Linked DNA regions of Neurospora crassa OR74A. The protein of the gene in region 1 binds, or shares a complex with, the protein of each later gene. Links are inferred from orthologs where the notes say so. Each region holds a gene or a part of one and is shown on either strand. Other genes may lie near its edges.

Evidence for each region.
Region 2: the proteins of NCU07724 (region 1) and NCU05313 are in contact, whole or in part, in a crystal structure (PDB 3UUX), measured with the Saccharomyces cerevisiae proteins. The link is inferred for Neurospora crassa OR74A from reciprocal best matches to the Saccharomyces cerevisiae genes MDV1 and FIS1. Residues at the interface, in NP_012423.1 of Saccharomyces cerevisiae: Asn95, Lys96, Phe99, Arg100, Leu102, Thr103, Tyr104, Ile105, Ser106, Asp108, Leu109, Asn111, Glu112, Ile113, Pro114, Glu145, Thr146, Ser147, Leu148, Phe149, Gln150, Gly151, Phe152, Lys153, Tyr155, Leu156, Ala159, Gln243, Ser246, Ser249; in NP_012199.3 of Saccharomyces cerevisiae: Val4, Asp5, Phe6, Pro8, Asp12, Glu15, Leu17, Gln21, Ile24, Leu25, Gln28, Ala37, Thr38, Ile39, Gln40, Ser41, Phe43, Asn44, Trp47, Lys51, Arg59, Val62, Lys63, Thr66, Tyr69, Lys70, Ala72, Glu73, Ser74, Arg75.

What each region holds. Positions count from the first base shown.
Region 1 is NC_026504.1:2,069,533-2,084,939, reverse strand, and holds NCU07724 (mitochondrial division protein 1), read right to left. Parts: upstream 4,252-15,407; 5' UTR 3,884-4,251; coding exon 3,809-3,883; intron 3,669-3,808; coding exon 3,065-3,668; intron 3,013-3,064; coding exon 2,006-3,012; intron 1,937-2,005; coding exon 1,661-1,936; 3' UTR 1,349-1,660; downstream 1-1,348. Other genes in the region: NCU07723 (norsolorinic acid reductase), read right to left, coding at 78-173, 240-310, 392-513; NCU07725 (chorismate mutase), read left to right, coding at 4,895-4,965, 5,048-5,786; NCU07726 (bcp-1), read right to left, coding at 5,931-6,707, 6,819-6,923; NCU07727 (COPI-coated vesicle protein), read right to left, coding at 7,695-7,867, 7,948-8,031, 8,100-8,143, 8,402-8,473, 8,634-8,653; sre (siderophore regulation protein), read right to left, coding at 9,417-10,261, 10,327-10,889, 10,948-11,303; NCU07730 (hypothetical protein), read right to left, coding at 15,292-15,407. UniProt on the Saccharomyces cerevisiae protein: Involved in mitochondrial fission. Has a partially redundant function to CAF4 in acting as an adapter protein, binding to FIS1 on the mitochondrial outer membrane and recruiting the dynamin-like GTPase DNM1 to form mitochondrial fission complexes.
Region 2 is NC_026504.1:5,367,437-5,381,844, forward strand, and holds NCU05313 (mitochondria fission 1 protein), read right to left. Parts: upstream 5,851-14,408; 5' UTR 5,569-5,850; coding exon 5,553-5,568; intron 5,473-5,552; coding exon 5,454-5,472; intron 5,385-5,453; coding exon 5,291-5,384; intron 5,219-5,290; coding exon 4,886-5,218; 3' UTR 4,260-4,885; downstream 1-4,259. Other genes in the region: NCU05314 (hypothetical protein), read right to left, coding at 1,091-2,216, 2,316-2,761, 2,813-2,965; NCU05312 (hypothetical protein), read left to right, coding at 6,209-6,235, 6,382-6,846; NCU05311 (hypothetical protein), read right to left, coding at 7,436-8,428; NCU05309 (Cut9 interacting protein Scn1), read left to right, coding at 9,893-11,221; NCU05308 (Zn(II)2Cys6 transcription factor), read left to right, coding at 13,384-14,244, 14,349-14,379. UniProt on the Saccharomyces cerevisiae protein: Has a role in mitochondrial fission. Has a role in outer membrane fission but not matrix separation. Required for targeting MDV1 to the mitochondria.

The DNA.
Region 1 (15,407 bases):
TGTCTGCTTCACGCGGAATCTAGGGGTCTGACGTGTGCTTAAAAGGCTTCAAAGAGGTTCGCAAAGTAGTAGCTTACCAAGTTGATCTCGGATTCCCCGTTTCTTCATCCACTCCCCAATCCATTTCTCAGATTCCTCCTTCTGGTAGTTGTTGGCAGTATCAATGAAGTTACCTACACATCACCCAACATCACCGAGTCAGCTTTAGCGGAATAATCCATAGGAGTTTCCCATCATACCTCCGTTCTCATAGTAAAAGTCCAAAATGCTCTCCGTAGTCTCTTGATTGCACTCTCCCATATAATCTTGCCTATGAAGTAAGGTTCCGCAGGTCAGTAATCAAACAATATCACGAACGGTTAGCAGCACAAGTCCGATGTGTACAACCTACCACGAATCGCCAAAGTTCATCGACCCCAGACAAAGCGGACTGACACGGACGGATGCAGTAGGGGACAGCAAACGATAGCGGCCGAGGGGCCCCTTGGGGGGAGGCGCCATAGGGAGGGCCATTTTGAGTCAAAGTTAGGAGATTATATCGAAAGGTGGGATGGGATGAAAAGGAAGACTAGGATGAATGACGAGAGATGATCAATACACACGGGAAGTTCATAAGAGAAGGGACAGGGAACGGAAGGAAGCTTAAATTATATGCCAGTACGACGGCCGAGGTTAGATCGGCTGGAGACTACGTACAGCCCAGATCCATGATTCGCAAAAAGAAACAAGGATATCACTTTGCTAAACAACGGGAGGCACACAGGAGGGTCGTTCCCTCTTTCCTTCTGTATAAGTTAACAAGCGGAGATAAGGCAGAGATCACGGAGGCGGGCCTGACGAGTACCCCTAGAGCAACCTCAAAGTGTACAGGTGGGATCGGCTTGGGGGCAATGGCAAGCTGAAGCGGGGGTCTCTAGTTTACGCTCTTCCACAGTGGGATGCCAGGCACGCAAGAAAACTGGGGATATTCGGGCACCCGAGCAGACGGAGGTGATGGTTTCGATCCCAGATCTCAGAGTCCGTGTACGGCAAGTGGGGTTCAATCTAAGGTGGACCATGGACGATCGTGGGGAGCGGACGGGTTTGCAAACTCCCCGAACGACCAGAGGATAACTTTCGCAATCTCGATCTTGTGCCATCACTTTCTACAGAGATCATTGATTTATAAGTCCGGCTGGAGATAAGCTTGTCTCCGTGGAGGGAGTTCAACGACCGGAAGCAAGGGCGAGGCCAGGGTAGACCAGAAGCACCTTTACCCCTCTTCGGACACTGCTCCGATGATTTCATGACTTCCGCATTCGAGATGATCCCCACTTGCGTCCAGGCGCGTTCACCTATTCTTTCAATGGGGTCAATGCTTTAGGTTGGCTCTGTTGGCGATACATCACTCAACTGTCGCCAGGGGCTCAGTTTTGCACAGATGAGAGATACATGTAACTGCTGTATAGTTCCATTGCGAACCTACACTCGTACAGACCCAAGGTATCCAGCCAACCCTAACAATGACTTCATTTTGTCGCTAGACGAGTCCTCTTCATAAACTCATGAACACCAATATACGTGGCCGCCCCTTTTTCTCCAATCCAGTGTAAGTCGTGTCGTATGATGTCGTATTTGTACAAGCAATGCAACCCCCCCCCCCCGGCGGACCATGTCGCCTTTAGCATGTCCAGACGCCGACGACACCGTCTTGACGGCCTTCGACCATGTAGCCGTCCCTGATGCGCACGCGTTCGACGATTGCAGGGGACTTGGCCTTCTCAGCCTCAGTGATGCCGGCGCCACAGTCCCAATGCCGTCCCTCAACCTTATCGTACACCTTAACCACATCCTCACCAGCAGCACAAACAATCCGGCGGGTGTCAAACATCATGCTGGTGATAGGGTGATCATATGCGTAAGCGTCGAAGATTGATCCAGTGCGAAGATCCCAAATCTGTGATAAGGAGCAGTGTCAGTGCCACTCGGTTTCGTAGTGTTATGGCAGAATGAGGAAGTTGCTTACACGAATGCTTCTGTCCAAGCTGCCAGTGACGAGATGAACATCATCAAACTGGAGGCAAGTAACCGGGCCGGTATGTCCAACCAGGCTACGGTGCACCTGTCCACTTCTAAGATCCCAGAGTCTAACCATACCGTCAGCAGTACCGCAAGCCAGAGCAGACTCGAAGACCTGCAGGGCACCAACGAAGTCTGCGGATCCGTCGGCAGAGCGGCTGGTCTGTCTCCAGGGACCGTCACTGCTGCCCATTGCGGTGGCTTGGGCGGCGGCCCACATCACGTCCAATGTCTGCACGCAACGACCCTTTGTAAGATCCCACTGACGAAGCGTCTTATCGGCGGAGCCAGAAACGAGCACATCTCCCCTGAAATGCAAGGCCGTAATCTCGTCGAGATGGGCCTCGAGAGTGAAAAGAGGGCAATCAGCCATGCTTCCGGCAGGCGGATCGACTGCGTGATCGTTCGGGTTGACAAACGCAAGGTCCTCGTCCTCCTCATCAACCTCCTGGCTACCCTGAGGGTCGTAGTGGGCCTTGCTCAGGTCCCACAGCTTGATTGTCGCATCCATAGAGCCAGTAGCCAAGAAGTTATCTTCAATTTGAAGAGTGCGTACAGATGCCGTGTGACCTTCAAGAGTACCGATGCAGCGCCCGGCGTTCAAGTCCCACACACGAACCGAGTCATCCATTGCAGCCGAAACCATGAGACCAAAGGGAGCATCGAAGTCGAGAGCCGTGATGTTATCCTGGTGCGCGCGCATCGAGCGAATCATCGTGCCTGGCTCGAAATGTTCGTGGAGAATCGGGAGTGTCTTCTTGCGATGGTTGCGAGGCTTCTTTTTTCCAGGAGGAGTGTTGGCTGCTGGTAATTTCTCGTAGATGGATTGCGACATGAATCCTTCTTCAGTTCTTGATAGATCCTCCTCAGACTTGTTCGGTGTCGCCATCGCCAACGATTCCGCCTCATCAGCAAGTTCTTGAGCTTCGTCTAGCCTGCTCTCAACATCCATGACTGCCAGTTGCGGTTAGTAGGAGGTCCCAAGATTAAGCGCATAAACACTTACTGTCATGCTCTAATACTGCCTCCTCTTTTTCAAGATTAGCGAGCCTGTCGAGGATGATCTTGCGCATGCCGTGCAGATTGGCGATTTTGTTATCAATCTCACGGATCTCGCTGCTAGCCATATTTTTCCGAACACCAAGCATTTCAAGTTGGTGCATCATTGACGCCTTATCTTTTTTTAACCTCTGTACCGCGTGCGGGCTTCCTGGTTGCACAGGGCTCTCATCGAGCATCTTCCTCCCCCGAGACACCCGTCGCTTGTGCTTCTTTCCATCATCGGTAAAGTCGGGAAAACTGGCCTGAAAGCCCTGGAATAACGAGTATGAGTTGGAGCTGGCAGGGATGTTTCTGAGAAGCTCATCGGGCACGTAGGCCAGTGCTCGAGATTGAATTTCCTTTGACGACAGCTTGGAGCGCACTAAATCGGTGGGCGTCGTACGCGCTATAGCGAAGACGCCCCGTTGAAGCGTGGGCTTCTGGAGCTGCTTGTGTATCTCGGTCATGGCGGTCTGGTAGTGAGGATGAGAGGTCGGGTCGGTGATGGGGCCGATCAAGTGACTTGCTGTTGTCGTCACTTTGCGACCGAAGGCCTCGAGACCCCGAGTCTGTTGCAGTTCACCCATCTTGCATTAGTTTGTGGTTCTTGGGCTGCGCCAAGCGCAATGCGGAAAGGACTCAGGAGAGGCAGAAGGGTGTCATCATGGTGGTGAACAGAGTGCGGGAGACGAAGGTGAGGAGAGCTCACAGAGATTACGGAGGTATCGTCATCAATCGACACATCGTCCGGGAACACATCACGGTTCTGATCGGAGTTGGCCATCCGTTGGCACCGGGAGGCTGCTACCCAATCGAAAAAGGTTCAAAGAAATGCCCAAGAGGTTGTTGCCGCCCGACGAACTACTAAAGCGCAAAGAGGTCGAATAGAAGCAGGACACTTGGACGACGACGCGAGAAAAATCCTGCGGGCGCTACTATCGCTGCCAAATCGCACGGCCGGGAATCGAGCGCAGCTGCGGCTAGTGGTAGCGATGCCGAAGCGATGTTGTCAATGTCAGAGTCCGCGGCAGCAACATGTAACCACGGCAGGCTGAATCAATTGCAGCAGCTGCGGATGGCCCGATGTTGTAGAGGTTGATCAGGTAAGGTACCTCGCTCCAAGTTCGCGCGCGTGGATGCGGCACAAATTTGATGTGTGAACCTGGTGAAGCACCGTGGCAGGAATCACTTTAGCTAGTCTGTTAACAGCTACCACCACACGTCTCTGGGACACATAGTTTGAAAGGTACCCTCTAAACACACTGGGCCCTCGGTGGTCGGTCTCTGCGGCTGGCAGCAGGCTGGTCGCAGCATGTTGGCGGGGAGGTGGATTTCCCGGCCAGCCGATAGCGCGCCCCCTCAATTCCCATTTCTTCCCCTCACCCCCCTGGCCCTGGTTCCCCGCACGCAAGCGACGCGCCAATTCAGGCTCGGCCTCCGTTCAGAAGGGGGTGTAACGAGAGCAGGGATCCGGTGTCTGCCAAGAAAGCCGCTGGAGGGCCAGTGGGGTACCGGATCCGCAGTATTGGTGCGTCATATGTACCAATGTACAAATGAACAACCTAAATTTTAACAGGGCCGTTGCAACGTGGGAATCTGATTGTTGTCCGATATCGAAGTTGCGATTGTTTGGTCCCAACTCTGCCGGTTGAGGGTCCTCAGGAGGGACTCAACGCTCACTGTACACAACAACTGCCTCTTGTCTTCTTTGTCAATTGATATCTTACTTGCACATATAACCCAAATCTCTATTCCAAGCCGTTATTGCACCTACCGCGACACCTCGGCTTTCAAGATGGACGCTATCATCGAACTGTCTGACGTCGACAAGGCGCTTGATCTTTCGCGCATTCGCTACCAGCTAATGTGAGTCAAGAGAGAGCTCAAGCACTGAACGATCACCTCGACAATCCTGGAACCTATGCCAACTGATACGTGTGTCGAACAGCCGTCTAGAGGACACCATCATATTCCATTTGATCGAGCGTGTTCAATTCCCCCTCAATAAGAACATTTACATCCCTGGCGCCGTCCCGCTCCCCGACACCGACCTCAGCTTGATGGACTGGTACTTGTGGCAGCAGGAGCGTCTCCAGTCCCTCATGCGTCGCTACGAGTCACCCGACGAATACCCTTTCTTCCCCGACGCCGTGCAGAAGCCCATCCTCGAGTCGATCGACTACCCCCAGATCCTCCACCCCAACAACGTCAATGTGAACGATCAGATCAAAGAGTTCTATACGCAAAAGTTCCTTCCCAGCGTGTGCCCCGACTTTGGCCGTGAGGATCGTGGTGTCAACAAGGAGAACTACGGTTCCTCTGCTACCTGCGATATCGCCTGCCTGCAGGCCATCTCCCGGCGCATTCACTTTGGCAAATTTGTCGCCGAATCCAAGTTCCAGTCTGAGACGGAAAAGTTCACAAAGTACATCCAGGCCGGTGATCGCGAAGCCATTGGAGAGGCTATCACCAACCAGGCTGTTGAGAAGAAGGTGCTGGAGAGATTGAAGCTTAAGGCGGAAACCTACGGTACCGACCCGTCAATAGGCGCCTCCGAGGCGGAGAGCCAGCGCAAGATTAACGTCGAGGCCGTCGTCGCTATGTACGAGGAGTTCGTGATTCCTCTTACCAAGGTGGTGGAGGTTGAGTATCTCATGCAGAGACTGGAGCCGGCGCCCGCCCAATAGCCATGATGCAAGTAACCGGCACCTAATTAAAACAACAACAAAATCCACAGCACTGCAGGCAGGAACTGACGATGCGTTGAAATTTCCCGTTCACGTTCCCCCATTTCTCGGTGCTTCATAATTCTCGCAATCCATTATGGTAAATTAGTTGGCCGCGCCAATGCAATCCCCGATAGCTTTGACAGCCTGCTTGAACCTGCCCGCCTCAATAAGCATCATGAAACCCTGTGACTTGACGCCCAGCTCTTGGAACGCACGCTTGCTGTCGGCTGAGTCTCCCTCCTTGGTAAAAGTGTAGGTGCCCGCACCGACAGCATGCTTGCGCATCTCTTCGTCCTCAGGGTGGAAGTACTGCAGGCCCTTCTCATCGCGTAGCCGCTTGCGCTTCTGCTCCTCCTGGTCCAAGCTCGACTCGACCTCGACGTACGCGCGCGACACCACCAGGTAGTGCGTAAACTCGTATGGCTCTTTGTCGTCCACGGCGTCCTGGATCTCCTCGATCATCATGTTCCACATGGGCGGGATGACTTCGGCCGGCATGTTGATGAGGCGCTCCGACAGGACGATGCCCACTTGGGCCTTGCCGGAGGTGAACAACTCAGGCAGCACAGACAGGCTGGAATCACCGGCCTTGACGGCCTTGTCGGACAGGTACTCAATCAGCTGCGCGACCGGTTTCTTCTCGCGGTGCTCCCACGCGTTGAGCACGGTCAGGAAGGCGTAGGCGTCGTTGGCCTTGTCGTCCACCTTACACGTCGAGCCGATGGTGTTCTGCTCGATGATCATGTCGCTGAGCCCGGACAGGTCGAAGAGCTGGGCGTCAGCGTCGAAGAGCTGACGAAGAAGCGTTTTGACGCCGTGGAAGTCGATGTCCTTGTCGTAATTGAACAGCTCGAAGTCGACGTTGATGATATCCATGTCCTTGTTTCCAACCAATGTTAGTATTACGACTCCCGGCCAAGAGAGGTTCGACCAAGATGCAAGTGGTCGGTTTAACAACCGAGCCTGGTGCACCAAGGGAAAGTAACTCACCTCATCCGAGTCTGAGCTGTCACTATCCTCATCCATCTTATCGACTGTGGGGTCGTTCTGGACGACCTCCTTCTGGGCTTCCTCTCTCGATCTTTTCTTGCCCATCTTGAATGTGGTACTTGAACGACTCAATAAAAATGGTCCTTATTCGACTTGTCAGTCGCATATTCCACACATGATTGTGTTCACAGGGCTCCTTACTTGGTGATATGTGGTTGACTTTGAGGTCATTCAGGCCGTCAAGCTCAAAATTTTGTAATGCAGTTGTTTAAGATTGAAATTGATAAGAACCTTATCGCCTACCTGCATATACCCTAACCCTTCCAGCTTTAGATACAACAAAATGGTTGCTAGGACAACCACAATTGCCCAAACTCCAAAAAGGGGGGGATTTCCAACCACGTTCACCCAGTTAATGATCTGCCATTGTGGAAAACTGCCACCGCGAACGATAAATGGAAGATACTTCATCTTTACGGACAGTGCTTGTCTATGGATGCCAGAAGACTGCAGGCCAGTCCTATCCAAAATGTTGACTTGGCTGCACCATTGCTGCCCTCAAACTAAAGTATAAGCTAAATCGTTGATCTTCTTACACATCCTTGATGTTATCTACTGAAAGTAACTACGTACCCCTTGACTTGTGCTGCATTCAGCTGGCGCAACATATTCCTCAACATTCTGACACCAGTTGATCACCAGCAGCGCTCCTGAGTAGCTGTCAAACAGACCATCCTCCCGCTACTCTCACACCCCAAACGTCTCATCTTGGTATGGGTCGACATGACATTGTCGGCGGCCACAGAGCCCTTTTCATGCTTACATAACCAATTCTCGGCAGGGCATTACTTCCCAAATAGTGACGTGTATCACAAACTACACCTGCTCAGCGCCCCAGCCCGCATCCACCTCGCGCATGTTTGGAGGGGGCTCAATAGAGGGCACAAATTCGAGAGCGACATAGGCGACTCCGACAAGGAAGATGATCGAGCCGATAATGATTGTAGCCCAGTGTCCATGGGGAATGATGCAGCCGACGAAGATGTAAACTGTACAAAGAGTAGACCGACGATTAGTCACAATAACTCAGCAATAGCAGCAGAGGGGGGGTGGGGCAACAATAACGTACAAACACCACGACCAAGAAACGAGAACATGAACGACGCATAGCGGTAGACTTGGTGAGGGATCTGGAACTCCAGGAGACCGGTGGCTGTGAAGAACAGCGTCAGCGTTTCGGAAACCATTTGAATGTTTCTGTCGACGTATGCGACCACCTACCAACACCAAACAGGATCGTGTAGCACCCGAGGATAATTGGTTGACTGTCGACAGTAACTTGGTCAGTTTTACATCTCCATACGATTTCTATCAGCCTGCGCAACAGTCCGGACAAAGCATGTAACACCCTTGTGAGCATAGGCGGGCGCGCACTGGCAGCCGGGACATCCAGGCTTCAGGACCATGATCGATTTCGGCGACCGCCCAAGATTGCTGCGTCCACAATATCCGCTCGTGGAGGGAAGCGCATAACTTTGTACAGTCGGTCGGCTTGCTAACGGGCGTACAATGAGGAAACGTACATTCCGAGAGGGAAGAACTGGGAGACACCACCCAGGATCATAAGCACTGCAACCGCGAGGTTGACAAAGCGACTAGAGAGGAGGACATCATGTTAGCAAGTAGTTCTGAACCTCGAACGGATGCTTGGATGCACGCAGTATTGGGGGCCAGCGGTCTTGCTTGTTCTCCGCTCTCATCCCCTTCTTTCTTTTCTTTCTCCATAGTCGCACGAGCGGGCGGATGTGAACGTACAAAGAGTCGGAGAGATCCATTATGGCGTTGTTTTAGTAGTGGCTGTGGTGGTGGAGGAGGTGCGAATACGTCGCAAAGGTTGGTAGAATGTCGCAGGAACAGGTGCGATCTGCTGGGTTCGACGCAATCTAGAGAGCGATTCAAAATGAGTCTCGGAAATTTGCGCGAGCGTAGAGATAGATGTGGCCACTTGGTGGTGGTTCTTGACGGAGCAACGAAAGATGTTGTGAGGATGGTGTATTCTACAGTGTTGCCTGGAACAATCGAAGCTCGAGGTCAGGAAGCTGGTAGCCTCACCTGCACCAAACAGGAGGGTCGGGTGGTCCCTGCCGGGGTACATTGTCCACTAAACCGGCCCCAAACGCGCGCAACGTGGGAGCTCCGCCCTACGACGCTGATGCAAGCGTGCGCGGCCTCTTGTCACTGGCTCCTACGGCATGTCAGGGCAGGGGCTTTCCGTCTGGAACTTTGAAACTTCCATTGCCGCATCACACTTCGCCATTGCAGCGAGGGTGTTGCAATTAGGGTTTACAGCCATGAGACGGCTATTACTATGCAAAACCAAATCCACTGGACGGCATCGATGAATAGACGCATAACCACTATGCGGATACTATGACTAAAGGTCTCTGGCTCCAACTGTCATTGGGATTTCCTCAAAAAGACTATGCCTTCCGTTGCTATCTATCTATGCACAAGTCAAATTCCATGGGTATGCTCTCCCGAATAACTCCAGTTGTTTCCCCCGAATTCACAGCATGCCGCTTTTTCAGCCTCCGCATGTCAATCATAACCCAACTCGGCAAGCTCCCGTTCCTTTGCGGCCAGCAACTCTCTCATCATTTCGGCCTCGCGCTCCAACGCTGCTCTTCGCTCTGCCTTCATCCGCTCGCTATCATTGTGGGTATCTCTCGAGGCGCTCCGCAAAATCGGAGCTGATGTTGGTGTCCCAATAACCGTACTGTTTGAAAATGACCCTGGACTGTGTGCTGGAGTCAGACTGCTCATGGCTGGGGACCGGGAGGCTGGTTGCATCCGTAACTGGTCTGCCGGCGAAACCTCTCGGTGTATCTCAGAACTCGGCATCGGGTTGAGAATGGATTTGATGGAAGACAGGCGCTTATGACTTTCGTTGTCATTATGAGACGAAGGTTCGTTCTCTACAGCAGATATCGACCGCTTTCTCGATGGGGACAGAAATGATGCTGGTGAAATGGACGCTTGACGATCAACTGGGAGCGCCAGTGAATGAATGGGAGCCAGTCGATTCTCGTAAGTGAGAGATGCATGAGCCCCGTGGTGTGGTTGATTTGTATGAGATGAGTGGTACTGTCCCAAGGCGGCTGAAGACAGCGGGGATGCCTGTCTGTTTCGCCGCAATTCGTCCTCAGGCACGAGCGTCAATGGTCGCACTGAACGTCGGCGGATGCCGAGATTAACAGATCCATCTTCGTTGACCGTACCTTTCTCCATCGGAGGTTCTGATGTCGCGGGTGGTGAATCTGGAGCCTCACTTGGCTCAATTTCGGCATCACCTCCGGCGGCAGGAATCACACGTTTTCTCCGTTTGATTATTGCCTTTTTCATGGTCACTGGCCGATGCACACCGTGCAACTTGTAATAGAGACCTTTACTCGAGTTAGCAAATTCCATCCCATTTGTAACTTTTCAGGCCATAAGTTCATGCACTTACCGCACGCATTGCAAATGGTATGACCGGCTTCGTCCCTTCGCCAGAGCGGAGTAATGGTAGTACCGCAGTTTTGGCAAGCAATAACAACGGTTGTGTTTTGCGATTGTACGTGTAAGGCGGTGATGTCCATCTCAGTCGGTTCTTCCCCGCTGCCCTCTGCTGCTTGAGGTTTCTTGGAAGACGCGGCTGCTGCGCCCTGACACTTTAGCACGTTGAGACTCGCACTCTTGGAAACGCGGTTGTTGTATGCGGGGCAACCACCACACCCCTCCGCACCACCTGTGCCGTTGCATCTTCCGCCTCCAGGGCACGATCCTGACGGCGTCTGATCGGCGGCCACATACGTTGCTCCCGGGTTGCTTGGCAGTAACGGTGCGGTTGCTTTTTTGGGGGACAATTTGGCCGCGGCCTGCCTAACATTGCTCGCCATCACGCTGGGAGGGCGCCTGATGTTGGCGGGGCGAGCCGCGTTACGCGCCTTTAGGTACAGTCCGCAAGCGTTGCAAATGATGGCTCCTTGAGGTGATCTTCGCCAAAGAGGAGTATGTGTCGTACCACAATTGCTACTCAGTCGTTAGCGCTGGCCTACAGATTCAGTCATTAGGAAAGGGACATTCATACCTGCAGACTTGACCCGCATGACCCTGAACAGAAGGCACAAGTCCCAGCGTTGCAACGTTCACCACCCCCACGGTTTCGGCTGGAGATTGTGCTGGTTGGGCATTTTGGATTTTTGGAGACTTCTTGCGACCAGACGGACTCTGCGCAGCATGCCCCGCTTTCTTTGAATTCGGCGAGAGCCCGGATTCGGACTTGGAGGCCGCCTCGTCAACCGGTCCGGTTGACTCGTGCTCCGGGGGCTCGTTACTTGCGGTCGGTGGGGGTGGCCTTGATGGAAGAGCCATACGATCAGGTGCCGAGTTACCTTCGATGGAAGTTTGGTTGTTCATAAGGCGAGTGTCATCCGGCAATGCCATTCCTTCTCAATGTGTTTGCGTATGGATCTCAACCTAACAATATGTATGCTCAAGGCTAGTTATCCGTCTTGAGAAGGGACACAATGTGTTTGAAAGCCTGTTGAAAAACAAAGTGGATGTTGTACGGCGCCGGGAGTCTTGGGGATGCGCAGGCTGGCTTCAATATCGCTCCGTGATCGTCAAGAGGCGGAAACGGTATCGAGGTCGGCGGTCAAACACATGCCGAGATCGATCGTTGGAGTTGTACTTGGATGGCAAGTAAGCCACCCCAACTTCTGGGCAATGTGCGCTAAGGACCAGGCGGGATCCGGGGCCAATACAGAGCGCCGGTACCAGGAGAACAGCACGTGTTGGGTGTCCGAAACAGGCGATTGATGGGGTCAAATGGCCAGAGGAAGCGAGTACTACAGACCGCAGCAGGGTGCCGCTGAATCAGAAGTTGGTTATGCTGGAAGAAAAGGCTTGGACACGGCGCCAGGTTGTGGTACGAGCGGGTTCGCGTTGGTGGCAAGACCTGGACGGTTGTGTACTCCGGTAGAGTGCACGAGGATGGCGAAGTCGGTCGGGATCCGAGGTAGCAGATAAAACTGAAGGGTTGGTGGACGGAAAAGGCAAAGCAAAAAAGAGGGCGGGTCTGGGCCAAAGGCTGGTCTTGAGGTTTTCTGTCGTCTTTCTGTCTTTTTGCGTCTTCTAGGTGAGTGGACAGACGAATGTCTGCATATCCTTCCCCCCTTTGCCTCAAGAGTCTCTGTTGTGCTTCTGATTACTACTCCACTGCTCCACAGATCTGTTATCTGATCTACGGATAATCCTGGCGAACCAAAGGGCTGAGAGACGGTTGGATACCGTACGCAGGAGGGCTTCACCCAGGGGTTCGTCTGCTAAGTAGTCGTTGCCAAGGACAAACACGTCTGGAAGGGAGGAAGGTTCGACAGTGTCTTAGCCTGAAGGAGGGCCACAAGAGAACAAAGCGGTTTGATTTTACAGTACGACATAGAGAGGATTTGGCACAACAAAAATCAAACCCGTTTTCCCACTTGTTTGGGAGACCTGATTTGAGATCATGGGACGTGGAATTGGGCTGGCTACAGGATGAAAAAGGTCCTTTCTCAGGTCCAGTGTCACTGGTCCCCTCGACTTGGGGAGCCAGATGCTGCAAGGGAATAAGTGACCCACAAGGTACCCAGATATGTCCAATCACGGACCACGCAATGTCAGCAGACAGGGCTTAGATGAGAATGACCGGGGTTCCTTATGCGTGCATTGGGTACGGGAACGCAGTGCCGACGGGTCAGTAAGCCGACCAATTTTACATACTCTGTAGACGCAAGTGTACATTTTGACGCAATGCGCCGCCATCAAGTCTCGTTTACCTATGTACACTATCTAGTCTAGTTCTACATTGGTGTTTCTTTCCAGCCCATCAGGCTCAGCAGGACATGTCTCACGACCTGAAAATATGGTTTTGGAAATGGTCTTGGTTGCTATGGTAGAAGGTACATTACACTATATCATCGCCGGGACAGCACCCAAAAAAACACCGACCATCATTTCCGAAAATCCATCCCGGACCTCAAGTGGTCTGGAAGAGGTCACCTGGAAATCTGGCCCGCCAGGATTACATATTTTGAACCAACCAGTTACCTCTAGCGTACATTCAGACTAGTAAGGAGTTACTTCATTCAAGAGTTACCTCTAGTGTAGTCCGCTTTACTTGAAATTACCAGAAACGGACCACCACATTTATAGTAACCATTTTCCGAACGCCATTTGCAGGTCATGGGACACGTCCTTACGCAATCGCCTACGTCAAACACAACATATCTTTCCATTTGAGCCTGCTCTATCGCGGACATTTACTCATGCCACGGATCGGGAAAGCGAAGTCAGTACGATGCAGCCGGTCGCGGTTCTGCGTACTAATTAATGTCGGGCTCGGCGGTTGGATTAATGGAAAGATTCCTGTCTTTATCGCCTCAATCAGACAACCTTGGCGCTCCTCTGATCGGCCTATCGTGCATATTTGTACATCCAGGACGCCATCCATCTCATCGTACACTACAACCTTGCCAAGATCGGGACACTCCACGACAGTCCACGATAGTTTAAGGTGGTTAGGCAATATTTTGTAAACAGCAGTGCCGTTTGTTCCTGCGATCGCAAGGAGTTTTCTCTCCGGGTCACGGGTTCGTCATCACTCATCTACTCGGGCTGCGAAACGTTTGATCTTCCTTCCAAGCTCACTGGGGTTAGCATTTGTCACTAGGCACTTACAGCTTTCAGTCAACCTTGCAACCATTCCTCACACGCTCATTCACCCAACCTCAGATATCCTTACAACCCAAGTCTAGTTCTATGTAGTCTAAAGAAAAGAGAAGTCTATTTTTACCCACCCCCTGAGCAACCAGCCCAGCAATCACCAACCGGACCCGGACCAAGTGGTTGATCATAAGCTCTGACCGATACTTTAGCTCTTTTTAGTAGCCCACTGTACACTAGTGCACACCGATCACCTCATCCACCCCCGGCAGCCGATGATCTGATAGCGATAGCCCCAGAGTCCCGAAAAGAAAAATCAAAAGAAGGAAAAGGAAGATCATTCCATGATGGGGGGACTTCTGTGGACCCCCAATCACCCCATCGATCCATCAAACCTGTAGTGTACAGCCGCATTACATGCCAAGCATTTTTATCAATTCCCGCAACACGGATCAGTTTATCTGTTGATCCACAGGGTATCATCTCCGAACTCCACTCTCCCTGTGGATTGTTTTCGAACGTTCCATATCCGGATACCGTAAGCTTTTCGTTGACATTTGACGGAGAAAGACACCACTTTAAATCCACGTGCGGATTTTCTACCCTGCGTGGCTCGGCCAGATCTGATGGATGTTGATCAGCAGCTACATAACTAGTGTACGTAGTGTACTTGAACACTAACAAAGGCTCGACGCCCTGTCATGACTCTGTCTTCTTTGACTAGGTAACCAGTCCAGAAACAAAGGTCCTCCGGCCCACTAGTCAGTATGATTCGCTTCGTTGTTCACACTAGTACCTACGAATGAGCCTTTTTCGATATCGGCGCTTTTCATCAGCGATGTTCCTTGGTACCCTTCGAAGTTTTTAAAACACCTCGGCTCGGTGATCAAGGCTCTAAACCAACCGGCAACTTTCCCAATGGGATTAGGACTACGGCGCATAATCAGCATTGCAGTGATTGGCTTTGTTTTTGTTGACGTCTCGTGGACCAAATTTGCAATTCTGCAAGGAAAAAAAAAAAAAAAAAAAAAAAAAAAAAAAAAAAAAAAAAAGAACCGTCAAGGTGTACTACCTAGTATGCATCCAGGATGAGGGTTTTGGAATCACGGAGGAAATCCGCAGCATAGACAGTGTCTATGTTGAACCAGTGTATGTTTACATGTGCTTTGTGGAACATCGATGTTCAGATTTTAGACGACTTCGATCGTGAGTTCAAACCCTCACTTGGTACTTGACTTCCTGTTAAATTTCCGAATTGAACAAAGCTTTCCATATTAACACCAACCATCCTTTGGAGAGTTGTGGGGCAATTGTTGTACCTCAACAAATCTTGTTCGACGAGGAACCCATCGAAGGGAACATAAAGGGATACATTGGCAACAAACCTCAAGACAATGCCCTACCACATATCCCCAGCCAACCATCAGTTGATAGAAGTACCGAAAGGCCACCTTCCTCGGCAGTATAAACTTATGACAAGGTTTTGATGTGTAGTAAACCGAAGAACTGCTTGTAAATTCACGAAAGCACAAAGCAGGTATTTGCAAAAAGAGAGATTCTGGGTGTGACAGAACAGCAACAACCGTTAGCAGGGTATCTTCGAAGCAAGCATATTAGATCCTTCCGTTACAAAGAGATGTCCATGAAAGAAGACATGAAGAACTAGGATTGCGGAAACCTTGAATGCCATATCACCAACGTGAAACCATGAGTTTCCCAGCCCAGCATTTCAGAAATCAGGATCCTTCTTGCTTCTGTGGCATCGAGCTTCACCAATGAATCCATGTTTCCGTGCCCTCATCAATGTATCCCGAGCCATGTGAACGGCGATAGCGACGGTCAGTG
Region 2 (14,408 bases), about 3.3 Mb from region 1:
GTTTTCTTAACATACTGCCCTTAGATTAAACTACTACAGTACTCAGAAGAATAACACAATATCCCTACCTACCAACTGAACCCCCTCATGATCACCAGGCAGCCGTTTAGTTTACATACCCAGTCTCCATTAGTTCACCGAGAGGCCGCCGGCTGGGCTGAACCTAAGTAACGCAACCAACCAATCAGCTTACACGGAACCGAGCCGAAAAGAAGAAAGGGAAAAGAAAAAAAAAAAGTGGGAAGCTTACGAACGACGGGGGGCGTCGCTTAGCTCGCTTAGCTTAGCTCGGTCTGGGGGAGGGGTTTCATTCGGTTTGAAAAAGGTGAGGTGAGGGGGCACACTACTAAAAGATGACAGCATCACTTTTGTTTCTGACAAGTTATTGAACGTTAAAAGTTGAATGTAAGGTTGAAGGTAAGGTGAGCAATTATAATGTGAAGACTGGGTGGGGTTTCGTTTGTTCTACAGGTATGATCGATCATCTATAGATTATTTGTTGTATCTCCCAGTGGCATTTTTGTATAAATGTTCTTGAAGTATTGACGAAGTGGAGGAAGTTCAGGGAAGATAATTTCTACGTAACGAAATATGCACGGCAGGATAAAAGATGGTTTGCCTAAGAATATAAGTCATACAATCCTTTTCTTTGGGTCAAAGTGATACCAGAAAGTGTCAATGTCCGGCTATGTGGGAAAAAAGACAAAATCATCGCAAGCAAGGCTGGAAAGCAGCGACCAAACAAGCAGATAACGAGCACCAGCAAAAAAAAAAAGAACGACAAATATATTATACAAGCCCTGGAACGTCATTTTGCACTTTATGTGCAATTCTTGCTCTGCAACGCAACCTCTTCTTATCCGTTCGATCCAGTTAACTTCCCAGTCTCATTGATCTGTCTAGTGGCCTTGAGAACCATATTTGGTTTATTCACCAAAAGCCTGAAAGCCCAATCATGATGAACCAACGATCCATGTGTCTGTTCCCTTTGCCTTCGTTGTATGTATGTGTATTTGAGCCGATCCTGTAATACACAACTGTACAATCGAGCCACCCGCAATTCAACATGCCATGACCGCTCCGACCAGGCTCAGCGTCTGCGCTCCCTATCCCGATCCGCCCCGGAGCCAGAACCGGAAGAACCACGGCCGAAGTGGTCCCTAAGCCACCCTAGCGCGCCATTACCAGAACTCGAACTCTGCTGCTGCTGCTGCTGCTGTTGGTTTTGCTGTTGCTGTCCGTCTCGATCCCGTGAATTTCCCTCCCCGTTGTTACCGTTATTGCGTCCCCACAAGTTGTTCAATCCACCGCTGTACCTGCTGCTAATGTTGCTCTGAGAATTGCTGCTCGGATTCGGCTGCCAGGCCGTCGAGGTGCCCCTATCCCTTGGTGGCGACGGGTCCCTATCGCGCGATCGCATGTCGAAACGTGAGTTCTCACGGCTGGGAGGCGAGTGTGAAGTTCGGCGGGAGATTCCCTCGGATTGAGAGTCGGTACGCCTAATACCAGCCACGTTACGGATCCGCTCGAGGCGCTCTTCTCTCTCCTGCTCGCTGCGTCGAAGTCGCTCTCTGGCCGATTGGGCTTGTGATCCAAAGGGGTTAAGTGATTCAAAGGGGTTTCTTCCTGGTGCGGATGAGGACGCGAAGGCTGATGCAGAGTTGGTGCTGGCTTCTTGGCGTGATGCGGACGGTTGGCTGTTATTGTTATTGTTGTTGTTACTGTTGCTCCCGGATGGGTTGTTGCCCTCGATCGGCATTCGGCAAATAGGGCACGTGTTGTGCTCCTTAAGCCATAAAGTGACGCATTCCCCGTGGAACCAATGCTTACACGGTAGCACCGTGACCTCTTCTCCCTTGTACATGTCGTCGATGCAAATGGTACATTCGGCTTTACCCTCGGGGCCGACCATCTGCTCGTCGAGGATCTTTTTGGGTAATTTCTCAATAGCGGCTTGCGTTGCTGGAGGAGCCGCATTGGACTGCGGGTTAGCTTCCATGAGGGTCGTTATAATGCGGTCGAGTGCCTCCTGGGTATACACGGCATCGCCATGGACTGCCGCCTGTGGGTTCAGCAATGTCGCGATAAAGTCCTGCAGGCCAGTGGCAAATCCAAGAGGAGGCCCTCGTGGACCACCGCCTTGGCCCTGGCCCTGGCCGCCACCGGGGTCTTCTGCGCCCGGCGGCGGGATGTTGCCAAAGAGACCCCTAAACAGACTGCCATCACCGTTCGAGTTAGCCCTCCTATTAGTCACAACAATGATTGTGTGTCTGCGAATTCCAGGGAAACCATTGCCATGTCGCGAGCGAACATACGTGTCAAAAGCGGGCGCTTCCGGCCCGTCTCCCGCTGGGCCTCCTGCAGTTGTCGTGGTCGTGAAGGTAAAGCTAGCCATGCCGTCTCCTGCTCTGGTGAAGGTTGTACGTTGTATCCGCGGCTGTGTCCCAAAGGCGTTTCCCCCTTGCTGTCCCGGCCTCGCGCCGCTTAACTCGACAAACATGTCGGCGAACCGCGACAACACGGCCTCGCCAGGATCATCTGGGCGGGCACGCGGCCGGTCCGGACTGCTATCAAGATCCTCAAGACCGTTCCCACTTGAACGGTTGAAGGGACTATCTGGCGATTGGTACACCGATCGTCGCATGAAGAAGGACCCGGGGCCACGCTCGAGGAACTGCTCTATGTCATCTTCCTCCGGGTCCGAGTCTGAACGGTGACCTTGTTGTTGAACACCTGGTCGGGGATCGTTGTCAGGTTCGACCTGTACAAAGGTTAGCGTGGCGATAGCTGGACGGTAGATGGGAGAACCCACAATCTGGACGAAATCATTGTGACACCTGGGGCATTCTAGGTCCAGATGGGGGTAATCGTCACGATACCACTCGTTTTCGCAGCCATAGCAGTAGACGACTTCTCTACCCGTTGTCGCATCGAGATGCCTCGGGGGAAATCCGGGAGAGGCCATCGCCGTCGGTCGGCCCAGCAGCCTTTGGGTTGCGTTGTAAGCAGCAAAGGCGGCGAGCCCTAACTGGACGGTGAGGCCGATGGTTTGGAGCGCTCCTCGCAGGGCCAGTTTGATGTTTGATATCGGGGTCGGCGAGTGTTTCGAATGACGGAGAGGAGATCTCCAAGGATTATACAGTTGGCTTCGGAATTCAAGAAGCCCGCGCGTAATATGGCGAGGATACTAATTGTAGGTGGAGGTCTGGCACTTGAAGTACTAGGTGATGTAGGTTGTTTGAGTGAAGTGAAGTGAAGTGGCTGCCCCACTATGATGGAGTCGATGTTCTTGATGCAGCTGCTGTGATCTACAGCGTTGGCGTCCTACATTCAAGGATTCGCAGCGGCGACGGCATCAACGGGATGGAGCAGTCGCGCGGCACAACTTTAATGGACAGGTATCGGATCTTGCGCGTTGTCAAGGGGAATCTTCCGTCGTTCGAGGCTGTCGGCTCTTTTGTGGCGAGGGTTCTATTGTTAGGAGAAAAGGAATGGAATGGATGATGGCACAAGGTCGGTTTGTTGGAGAAGGTTCAGCCGTTTGCTAGATCGATGTAGGTGGTGTCTGTACCTGCCTCCCTGCCTTGCGCTGAGGTAAGATCCGACCGAGCAATAAAAGAGGGATGACAGCCATCCCATTGGACCCTGGGTATCGCTGTAACCGCTGTATTTGGTTAGGCCTCGGAAAGTCGGCGCAGGCCGGGCATGCGTCACAGCGTTACCTCTGCGTACGGTAATTTGAGACCAGGATGTATAATGGATCCTGGTAATTACCTAATTGTTCTTTTCCCTTCTTATACTCGCCACGGGTCAATATGGCCCTCACTCTTTTTTGTCCCTTTATATAGTTCACTGATGTATCTGTCCAATGTTGATGCTGAGACATACTGGATGTATTACAATGTTGCAAGTAGGTAGTCCTTTTCCATACTCATCCACGACCCGTGAATCATGAATCGGATGGGGTTCAAGGTAGAATATGGGCAATGTTTCATGTCACATTGATACTGCATTTCTTAACGGCCTGATGAGGGGAAGAAATGAAGTCTGCCCTGGGCTTCATTAGGTGCAGCATGGAAAGCCCAAGGGACCCGATTAAGCATGTCGCAGGTCGTTAACAGGAGAAGTGAGCCAATGTGTCGGCGTCGAGCTGCAGCCTGACCCTGAGACAAATGGTCCCGCATGCACGAAAGTGGGCTATGACCGGGGCAAGGCACGGCAAGGCACACATCTTTGAGGAGCAACAATGGTAGGGTACGGTATTGGGTGTATGTATTGATATATCGTTTAGTAACACGATTGATACCTCTAACGCTACAATATGGTTTTTGGAATGACAATGTGATACCAAGGCTTTCCAACATAAACAAAGCGAGAGGTACAGTAACACCGTCACGGGGTCTAAGCCTTCAAAGAGGAGCACCTCTGCGTTGACTGTTGTCACACCTGGCAGTTCTTCAAGGCTAGCGCCAAGAACTAACACCCGCGACGTCTTCGAGCATCCAATCTCTGGGATCGCTTCTAGATGCAGTAACCAAAGTCCACGCCGTCAAATAAAGCGAATTTAGGGCGTGAGCCGAGTTCGATTCAAGAAAGAGCATCTCCAGAGATGGAGTCTAACAAGCCAACAACAATCTAAGATAGGTAGTTGGGGGAAGTGGGGGATGTGAACCAAATAACCCATGTCTTATAGAAAGGAATGTCTGTAATCCAGTTATCGGGACTTTAAAGAAGGAAAAGAGGATTCAGCTCGTCAAATCATAGCCCATAATATACACACCGGACCCTGTTGTCCCATATCGTCATCAAGGAGCGGCCTTTTCTGCCCTTTCACCTTGTGCCATATGTCATCATCCATCAGGCGACCGGCTCACCCTCCTACCCACTACCTCTTGCGGCCCAAGTTCCTGAGCAAAACGCCTCCTATGACACCGGCGGCAACCGCCACACCACTAATGATGGCCACTCCCATCAAGCCCTCCTTGGTCACCTTGTCGTCAATCAGGGCTCGGAGGTTGGCGGCCTGGAGGTTTGCCGGCTCGTTTTCTAGGAGGGCGTCGTTGTATTTCCTCGCTTGCGCGTAGTTACCGAGCTTGTAGTTGCCGAGGGCGAGGTAGTATAGGCATTCGCGGCGGCGCTCGGGCGATGTTCGGAAGATTTCTGATAGCAGCATGACACCGAGGTGTTGGTCGGCTCGTACGTTGGACTTTACTAGGCCCTGTAGCATTTCGTAAAGAAGTTATTTAGTTTATATTTCTTTTCAACGGGAATCATGGGTGTTGGTTCGTACCCATGCGTAGTTGAACTTGGTCTGGACGCCAACCATCTCTCCCTCCTTCTCATATTGCGCCCGGAGAACATTGAGCTCGGCGGGGTTGAGCGGACTGCATCGTTATCGTCGTTGGTTAGATGACTCGGCGATCCTGGGGCGATTGTGCAACTCGGGGACTCACGTTTCCGCATCCACTGCATCTGTAACCACGGATGTTAGCTACCTGTGCCAAGCTTGGAAGAACAATGAAAACGAGTCCCATGAGCTGACCAGCACCTACAGGGAAGTTGTGTCATTTTGACAAGCTGGGTGTATTTAGTTGAAGGAACAAGAAAACTGGTATCCTGAATAGAAGTAGGTATATGGTCGTGAATTGTGCGGCAGCGGGCGACTCTGGTATCTCGGGTTTGTAGGTAAGGTAGGTAGTGGTGGTGTGAGACGGAGGTGGACAGCAAGGTTCTGGAATTACCAGGTTAATGATAGCTGAGAGTGCCGCCAGTAGTTTTATCGCGTGGCTGGAGCTCTGTTTAATGTGCCACCGATGACGAACGACACTGGGGAAACCCACTGCAGCATGCCCGATCCTTGACCGGTGATAGCCCGAGGTCCCGTCCCCATGTAAATCTGCGATAAGATAAGGGAATGTCCCACTTCAGGTCCTGTTGCGGCTCCTGTCCCGCTAGGTCCCGTCGTCGCCCAGGATGAATGGGTCCCGCTGTTGTTTGGTTTGGGACTCGACAATTGCGACACAACAACAAACCATTCGCGACCTCGAGTTCGTTCGCGAACAAACACTTTTCTACAACAACAGAAACTAAACGAGCACACTTTTACCGTCACGGAACTCATAAATTCAACTCGATCGCAGAAGCAAATATTTACATATACCCGAATTAAAACAGAACACCAACCTCAAGTCAAACTAAACCTGCCAAAATGCTTCTCGAAGAAGACCCCTCCACCGTAAGCTTCCCCGTTCATTCTACATCACTCCAACCTACCAAAGAACCTCCCCCTCTTCATCTCCCTCTCTTCCCATCCCCCTTACCCACCCCTCCCTCTTTCTTTCTCTCTATCAACCACCCACTAACCCCCTCCCTCCCTTCAAGCTAATCGCCCACACGACCCAAAACTTCAACATCACGCCCGACCGCCACGCCGTCTCGCGCGTCGCCGAATCACTTTCCACGCTACAACAAGCGCGCGACCTCCGCCTGCGCGAATCCGAAACCAACCTCAAGAAACTCGCGCGCACCCTCAACACCTTACAGTCCCAGCACCAAGAAGTCACGTCCTCGCACAGTTCCGCCGAGCACGCCTCGTTGATTTCCCGTCTCGACACGCAAAAGTTCCGCGTGGCGAAAAATGTTTCAGATCTAGAAATGGAGACGGAGCGACTACAGACGCAATTGGCGGAACTACAGGCGCGGTTGCAGGAGTTGGAGTTGCAGGGGGTTGATGGTGGTGATGCTTCTGCTGCTGGTGGTGCCACATCGACGGGAGAAAATAATGGGAACGGCAGTGCCGGGAATGGGGGCCAGGTCAGGAGCGTGGAGGATGAGGTGTTGTTGTGAGGTTGAAGGTGTATAGGAGCTTGGGAATCGAGATTGAGAGGGAGGAGCAGGATGGAGGGGAGTTTACGAGGGCGGTGGTGCGGAATGATAGGCGGGGGGATGTGTGCGTGGTTAATGTGGACCGGCATCGGTTTTCGAGGTTCTTTTATGCCAATTATTTTTGGCAGACGTTGTAGGGGCGGTTGCTTGGGGGTAATGTGAGATGGCTGGGGATGGGGTATGATGGGAAGGTTGGGCTAGGATGAGGTTACGGACGCTTGCGAAAGGGATATGATGCATGGATGGATGGGATCGGCGTCTGGAGGAGTTTGGGTGGGAATAATACCATGTCATTATTTTGTTGTTTCAAAACAAGTCGGATTTCTTAGCGTGATCATATTGAAGTATGTTTTGCTTTATTATCGCTTTTCGCTAATACCCAGACGTGTTCTATCCTTGTAACTTGTCATAACAGTGTCTGTATCTGTTTAACGAAAAAAAAAAAAAAAAAAAAAAAAAAAAAAAAAAAAAAAAAAAAAAAGGGGCCCTGGTTACGTATACGAACATTGTCCAGATCAGCAAAATTAGACAAACATAACATGACAATTATTCACGCCGTAGGCCTCCACTTCCCTTTCTGAGAAGTGAAACCCGCAAAGTACTCTTGCTCCTTCTCCCACATCCCCATACCCATCGGCGACACCCCGTTTCCATTACGGTGATTGTTCCTCCTATCCCCCGGCGGCAGCGCCATCTTCGATATGCTTCCAAAAGCGCTCTTATTCGCCCTGGCGCCCGTACCATGCCAATTATTCGTTTGCGCCTCGGCACAATGTCCCGATCCAGCTGTGCCATTTCCACTTCTCAAAGTCCCCTTTCTACCATTAGTACTTCCCCCCATCCAACCCGCCTCCAACGATTGCGACGGCCCAGCACTATGCGATCGATGGCTCAGACTGTGGTGGTACCGACCCACAAAGCTGGAGCACCTTTCCATCGGCAGTTCCAGCCGTGAGTTGATGTTCTGCCAGGCGTCGTCGTCGTCATTGCTGTCGTTCAGTCGCCACCCGCCTACTCCTTCAAAGTCTCGCTGGATGCCGACCGAGGGAGCCAGCCCGCCGGTCTCGGGCAGAGGGGGAACCATCTCGGCGTCTTCCCGGATGGAAGCGATGGTAGGCGAGATGGATGCTTGACTAGAGCGGCGAGAGCGACGAACGGTGCCAAAGCCGTAGCTGCTCTTGCGGCGGAGAGGACTCCGTTGGTGGGAGTCGTAACCGTTGTAGTAGTAAGGGGAGGGAGAGACGACGGCTAAGGGCGAGTTGTCCTCACTATCCCCGGCGGCTCTGTTTCCGACGCTGCCTGTGCTACTAGAGGATAGACGGCGTGGAGTAAGAAGTTCGCCGTCAGTGACGCTATGGTAGTGACGGCCTTTGATGAACTGGGGGACGAATGCCATGGCTATGTCGACGTAGACGATGGCTACGCGGAACATGAGCAAAGAGAAGGCGAGGGCGGAGGTGATACTCGCGAAGATGGCCATGGGAATGGTGAAGAGGCAGAGGAAGGGGACAACGAGTCCATGGACGGGGTTGAGGAAGGCCATGGTGTCTGTGCGGGGTGTTTGCGGTCTGTGGCAACAGATGATGTTGAGGATGTCGAAACCCTGGAGTGAAGGCCTCGGTTTTCTGGTTTGCGTTTTGACGGCGAGTTGGAGAGTGAGGTGGGAGGGGGTCTATGAAGCTGTATAAGGTATGCAGCTTATTGGATTTTCTTGCAGGCGAGGGGCATATCTGCCGCTGAGACCAACATGCCGTGCGTGCGCTTGGAGCACAGTTCCCTTGGTTATCTTGTTCCCTGACCCGAGGTTGTGGCACTGAACTAGTACAGTTTGAGTTTACGACTTGATAAGAGTTTGTTATTTGGGGGAGATTTTGTCTAGGCTCCGAGGGCCATGACGGATGTAAAGTGTAACGGGCTTGAAGTGCGCAAGACGGGGAAACGGAGAGTGAACCGGGAAAAAGCAGGGGGGACTTGAGCCGTTTGGAAACAGGGATCGGTCGGAGCTTAAAAGCTGGGGAAGCAGTTTCAGGGTCCACTACGCCCGCTTTGACACTTCGGCAGGCGCCGAATGAGCAACCAGATCATCACAAGGGGCTGTTCTTAGCGGGCCGTGAACACCTCCAGCGGTTGACGTGCCCCGGAATAATGAGGTCTTGGCAGCCATTCCCTTACGTTTTCGATCCGCTCTTGCAAGAATCTGGACACCACCAAGAACGATGCCCCCTCTTTCCACTTGTCGTTCCATGAGATGATCGAGATTCCTGCTTGACGGCCACAAGTTGCATATGTACATGTTCACCGGTCCCTTTGTGTCACTTAACCGACGTACATCCGGACTGAGGAAGCCCCGCGATCGTCCCATCGCTTCGTCTTATCAGCCCATCGGCATGGGTGTCAAAGCTGAGCCGAAGTTCAACCATCAATGAAGTCAACATGACACCAAGTCCAAAGATAAGGTTGGACGGGGAAAAAGTCCTCGACAGCCTTCAATCGACGTTGATAAAAATGCCGGTTCGAGTGGCCCTTGCAGCCAGGATTCACAGACATTTTTTTCCCATGTTGCGAGTGCTTGTTATCTACGCATGAGCCTCCGCTATATAGTACTGGTAGTCTACACTATATTTCTACCTATTCAAACTCAAAGGGTGAGTTTCCCTTAGCCAGACCACACGTGTGCCAAGACTGGGCATTTTCAATTGTACCGTCAAGTTGAGGCTGTGTTGGGAGGGCAAGGATGATACTCTGTGGACAGGGAATAGCTTCCCCACATGCATCTCCAACTGACATCATCCGTTGGAGGAGGCGTTCCTGAAGGCTGACAGGATGGCAGAATGGGTGAAGCGGGCCGTGGAGTTGACTTTTGCATCCGCGATTTTCCACATGAATATATCGAACATAAATATCAACTGTGTTTCAACATCATCCCAACTCTACTGCCATTAATTCTCCCACAGTGTCAATAATCGCCACTACGGCACTCTCCATATCATCTCAGGGCACAGCAACCATGTGTCCCTCCACCGGCGAATCAATACCTCATGAAGTTCCCAAAAGAGACGATGATGAAGCTCCCAAAGAGCCCTTCCCATGGCACGTTGGTGTCTACGACGCCCACTGTCATCCCACCGACACCATGGCTTCCATCTCCAGCATAAACAACATGCAAGCTCGACTTCTCACCATCATGGCCACACGCGGTCAAGACCAAGACCTCGTCGCCTCCGTAGCCGAGCAGCACGGCATCACAGACTTGAACGAGCTGCGCGAAAGCAGTTCATCCGAAACCCCCAAGAAGGTCGTCCCAGCGTTCGGCTGGCACCCTTGGTTCTCTCACCAGCTCTACGATGACTCCAAAGACGAAGAAGAAGAAGAAGAAGGAGAAGAGGTCACGGATGTACAGGCACACAATAGAAAAACTAAGCACTACTCTACCGTTCTATCGCCCCCTCCCGATGCCGATTTCATCGCTTCTCTCCCCGATCCCATTCCTCTCAGCAAGTTTCTCCAAGAAACCCGCCAACGCCTGCTCGCCCACCCCACAGCCCTGGTCGGCGAAATCGGCCTTGACAAAGCGTTTCGTCTCCCGTGGGGCAAAGTGAATGAGTCGTCCTCGTCCTCGCGCAACGACGGCGACCTAACACCGGGCGGTCGAGAAGGACGGATGCTCAGTCCTTACCACGTCAAGATGGCGCACCAGGTCGACGTTCTCAAAGCCCAACTTCGCCTGGCAGGCGAGCTGGGTCGTCCCGTCTCTCTACACGGCGTGCAGGCTCACGGCGTGTTATTCGATGCCTTGGCGTCGCTGTGGAAGGGACATGAGAAGGAGGTGGTGTCGCGGAAGAAGCAAAAGATGATTGCCAAGGGCGTGTCGGAGGATTTTTCCTCCTCGTCTAGTGATGAGGAGGAGGAATCCGATTACTCGGAATTTGGGCTTGTGGGGGAGCCCAAGCAACTACACAAAATCATGAAGCCCAAGAAGAAGCCGTACAAACCGAAACCGAAACCGTTCCCGCCGAGGGCGTGTCTACATTCCTTCAGCGGGCCGCCGCAGGTGTTGAAGCAGTATTTGGATCCCAAGATCCCGGTCAAGTGCTACTTTTCGTTTTCCATGGTGATTAATCTGGGGACGGCGGGCGGAGAGGCCAAGTTTGCGGATGTGATTCGGGCGTGTCCGGATGGGCAGGTGCTGGTGGAGAGCGATTTGCATGTGGCGGGCGAGGATATGGATGGGTATTTGGAGGATATTGCGAGGAGGATATGTGAGATAAAGGGGTGGGGGTTGGAGGAGGGGATGCAGAGGATAAGGAGGAATTATGAAGAGTTTTTGTTTGGTTGAGTGAGTGTTGAGTCTCTAGAAGACTGTAGACTATAGACTTGGAACCTAGATGGAGTTTTACTTGGTAGACATGGGAGCATCTTTGGAAGCGAGACAACCTCTTTCTCTCAGCCGCTGGGGTCTTTTTTTTTTTTTTTTTTTTTTTTTTTTTTTTTTCCCTCCCCTTGAAAGCCACCGCCGGCATCAGTCAATTGCCCCCCCGGTCCAGCTGAGGGTCCAACTGATGAAACCTCAAGGGTGCCTTCTGGGGTAGCCCTTTGGTGCCTGTTGATCAACGGCACTAACATTTCTTGCGCTCTTACCCTGGAACGTGCGTTAGCGGGACTTCACTACACACTAGACTACCAGACTACGCATTCTGCCCAACTCGACGAGTATTGAACAGTGTAACACTAAATGAGATCTTCGCTTTTTCCTTCCCGAACCGGAACTGAGACGTTCGCGTTCGCAAGCATCCCCTCTCATGTCACGCATTTTTGTTGGCTTTTGTCAGCTCAGCTATCTCCGAGGCGGGACCGGTGTGTCTGGCAGTGCAGTCAGTGTCTGCCACTGGGGTTTCTTTACGGGCTTCTTCAAAGTTCTTCCTCATAACAACCAGGCACCAACACCAAGAAACAACGAGTTGTCACTGTTTCAAGCCGGCAGGCCTGGGATATGGAAGTGGATTGCATGGCACGCCTGTCTGTGAGACACTGCACTTTCGGTGTAGATTTAGCGCCTATCAAACGTTCTGGACGGATGATTGTCTCAGGGTGCCGATCTCCGCTGGGACAACGGTCGAAACATCAACCACTGTTATCTTTGAGGTGTAGGTAAACTATTTAAGGAGGAGAGAGACACTGAATGATGTTGAACTTGGCAAGGTTAGGAGTGAAAAGACTAGGTAGGTGCCGGAGTGTTGCTCATCCGGGAGGTGCTGAGAGACTCTACTCGACAGTTTCCAACACACAGGAGTTGTTGCGATTCGCTCTTGACGGAGTTGTGATCAAGCTAGAAATAGTCTTTGCAATTCTTACCAACAGCGATGAAGAGGCGTCGATAACCACAGGGGTGATTAGGTTTGCAGTGAAGCGAGAAACTGAACCCACCGAGAGTGCCGGTCCGGGACCGACTTATATCTCCCAGTCGCCGCCGTTTGGATGTGTCCATTCAGTCTTTGTCAGCCACCGCATTCACATCACTCCATGTTCCCTGTGTTCTCAGCTATCCGCAACGAACTACCGCAGCCCGGCCGGGTACCTCCCTTTTCCCCTCATTTCGACTGTGGTTCTGGACCTGATTCCTCCACTTGGACCACAGTGAGGCTGTGAACAAGCTTTTTGAAGAGCCAAAACATAAAGGACGGGGAAATCGGGAAGGATTTTTAGTCGAGTCATTTTCCCCCTCCACTTTGTCCAACACCGCCCACTTTGCTTGGCTTTTCCACTTTCTTCTGCTTTTCTCTTCATTCCCGTCTTTATTTCCCTGGATTATTTCCATCGCTTCGCAGGTTTATATCGTCACACAAGTTCCCCCAGTCGCTTGGCATTTCGGTTTTTGGTGTCAACCGCACTGGGTTCCCCAGCCAGGCAGTAGTGACGTCCACTCAACGGTCGGTCGGTCCCCCTCGCAGCAGCTTTTCGATCTTGGCAAAGGAACCGCTCTATCATACACTAGACATACTTGTCACTACACCAGTCGAACCAGTCGAACCATTCAGGCGAACCAGTCTCCCGGCACCCTCAGTCTTATTCCCACCTCACCTATCTGCATCCATCCTCTCTTTGGGCTGCTGCATTTTCCGCTGCTGCCTCATCTGCCGCCATCAATCAATCAATCAATCAATCAATCACAGCAAACCATTTCCTTTGAAGAAAAAAAAAAGGTTTTGCGTTATTCCCGAACCTACTACTACTACAACACAACAGGTTGGCTGGCCGGCCGACGGGGAAAAAAAAAAAAAAAAAAAAAAAAAAAAAAGTGAGAAAGCTGCAGAAAGCAAGCACAAACACACCCACGTGCCGGGGGCGTCGGTGATTTGCACCACGTTCCGCGATACAGGCAGCGGACCCATTCACACACCACACACCCAGTCGCTCGCGCATTTCCCAACCGTCCGCTCGCTCGCTCGCTCGTCGGCTCCCGGGGCTACCCCAGCTGCGACCTGACGCAGTTCGGTGCGCATGTGGATGTCTGGGTATCCTGTCGGTGGTGACAGCAGTCAGCAGCAGCGACGTTTCGGCAGCAGCAGTCGTCGTGGCTCGATGAATCCGCATCCGCATCCGCTCTCGTCAGCGGAGCCCGTCACCGCTGCCGCCGCATTTGCACCTGCACCTGCATCGGTATCCGCTCCCTCCGCACAGCCAAGACATTTGCCGGGTCCGGTGGATACCAGATCCCGGCCCGGGCCCGGGGTGAGTCTGACCCATTCTCATGCGGGGCCGGGCCCCATGGTCCTCACCCCGAGCTCGGCCGCTTCTTCCACCGTCTATGTCGCCTCGCCGAGTTCGGCCGATGCGTACCACCATTCGCACTACCACCACCACCACCAAGGGGGCCACCACCACAGTCACCACTCCCATTCCCACTCCCACTCCCACTCCCGCTCCTTGTCCAACACAAGTAGTGTTACAGCCGCCGCGGGACCCGCATCCGGTCCCGGACACGGTGGTGGTGCGTCGTCATCATCATCCACACAAAACCCATATGGCCCCCGGTTAACAAGAGCGGGAGCGGCGGGGTACAGCAGCAGCAACAGCAGCAGCACCAACGTTGCTGGCGTTAAGCGCGAATCCACCGATGATCTACAAGGCGTCAACGGGGACTACTCCTCCAACGGTCACCACCACAATGGACCCTTGTCCGGGCTTGGCGGCACCACTCCCAGGTGGAGTGGCAGTGGCCCGAGTGAGAGCGTCGAAGGAGATAGCAGTGCTACCTCGCCAACGTCGACAACAACGGGAGGTGGAGGGCCCCAGAGGAAGAAGCAGAAACGGAATAAACCGACCTTGTCTTGTTTTGAGTGTGTTGAGAGGAAGACAAAGGTGAGTTTGTGATATCTCCCTCCTCTCATCCGACCTCATTGTGTACCTCCGCCCTTCCATCCGAACTTGGGCTTATTTTGATGACGCGCTAACAATTGCACCAGTGTGATCGAGGTCGACCTCATTGTTTAGCATGTAAATCTTCCAGTCTATCCATTGTACTA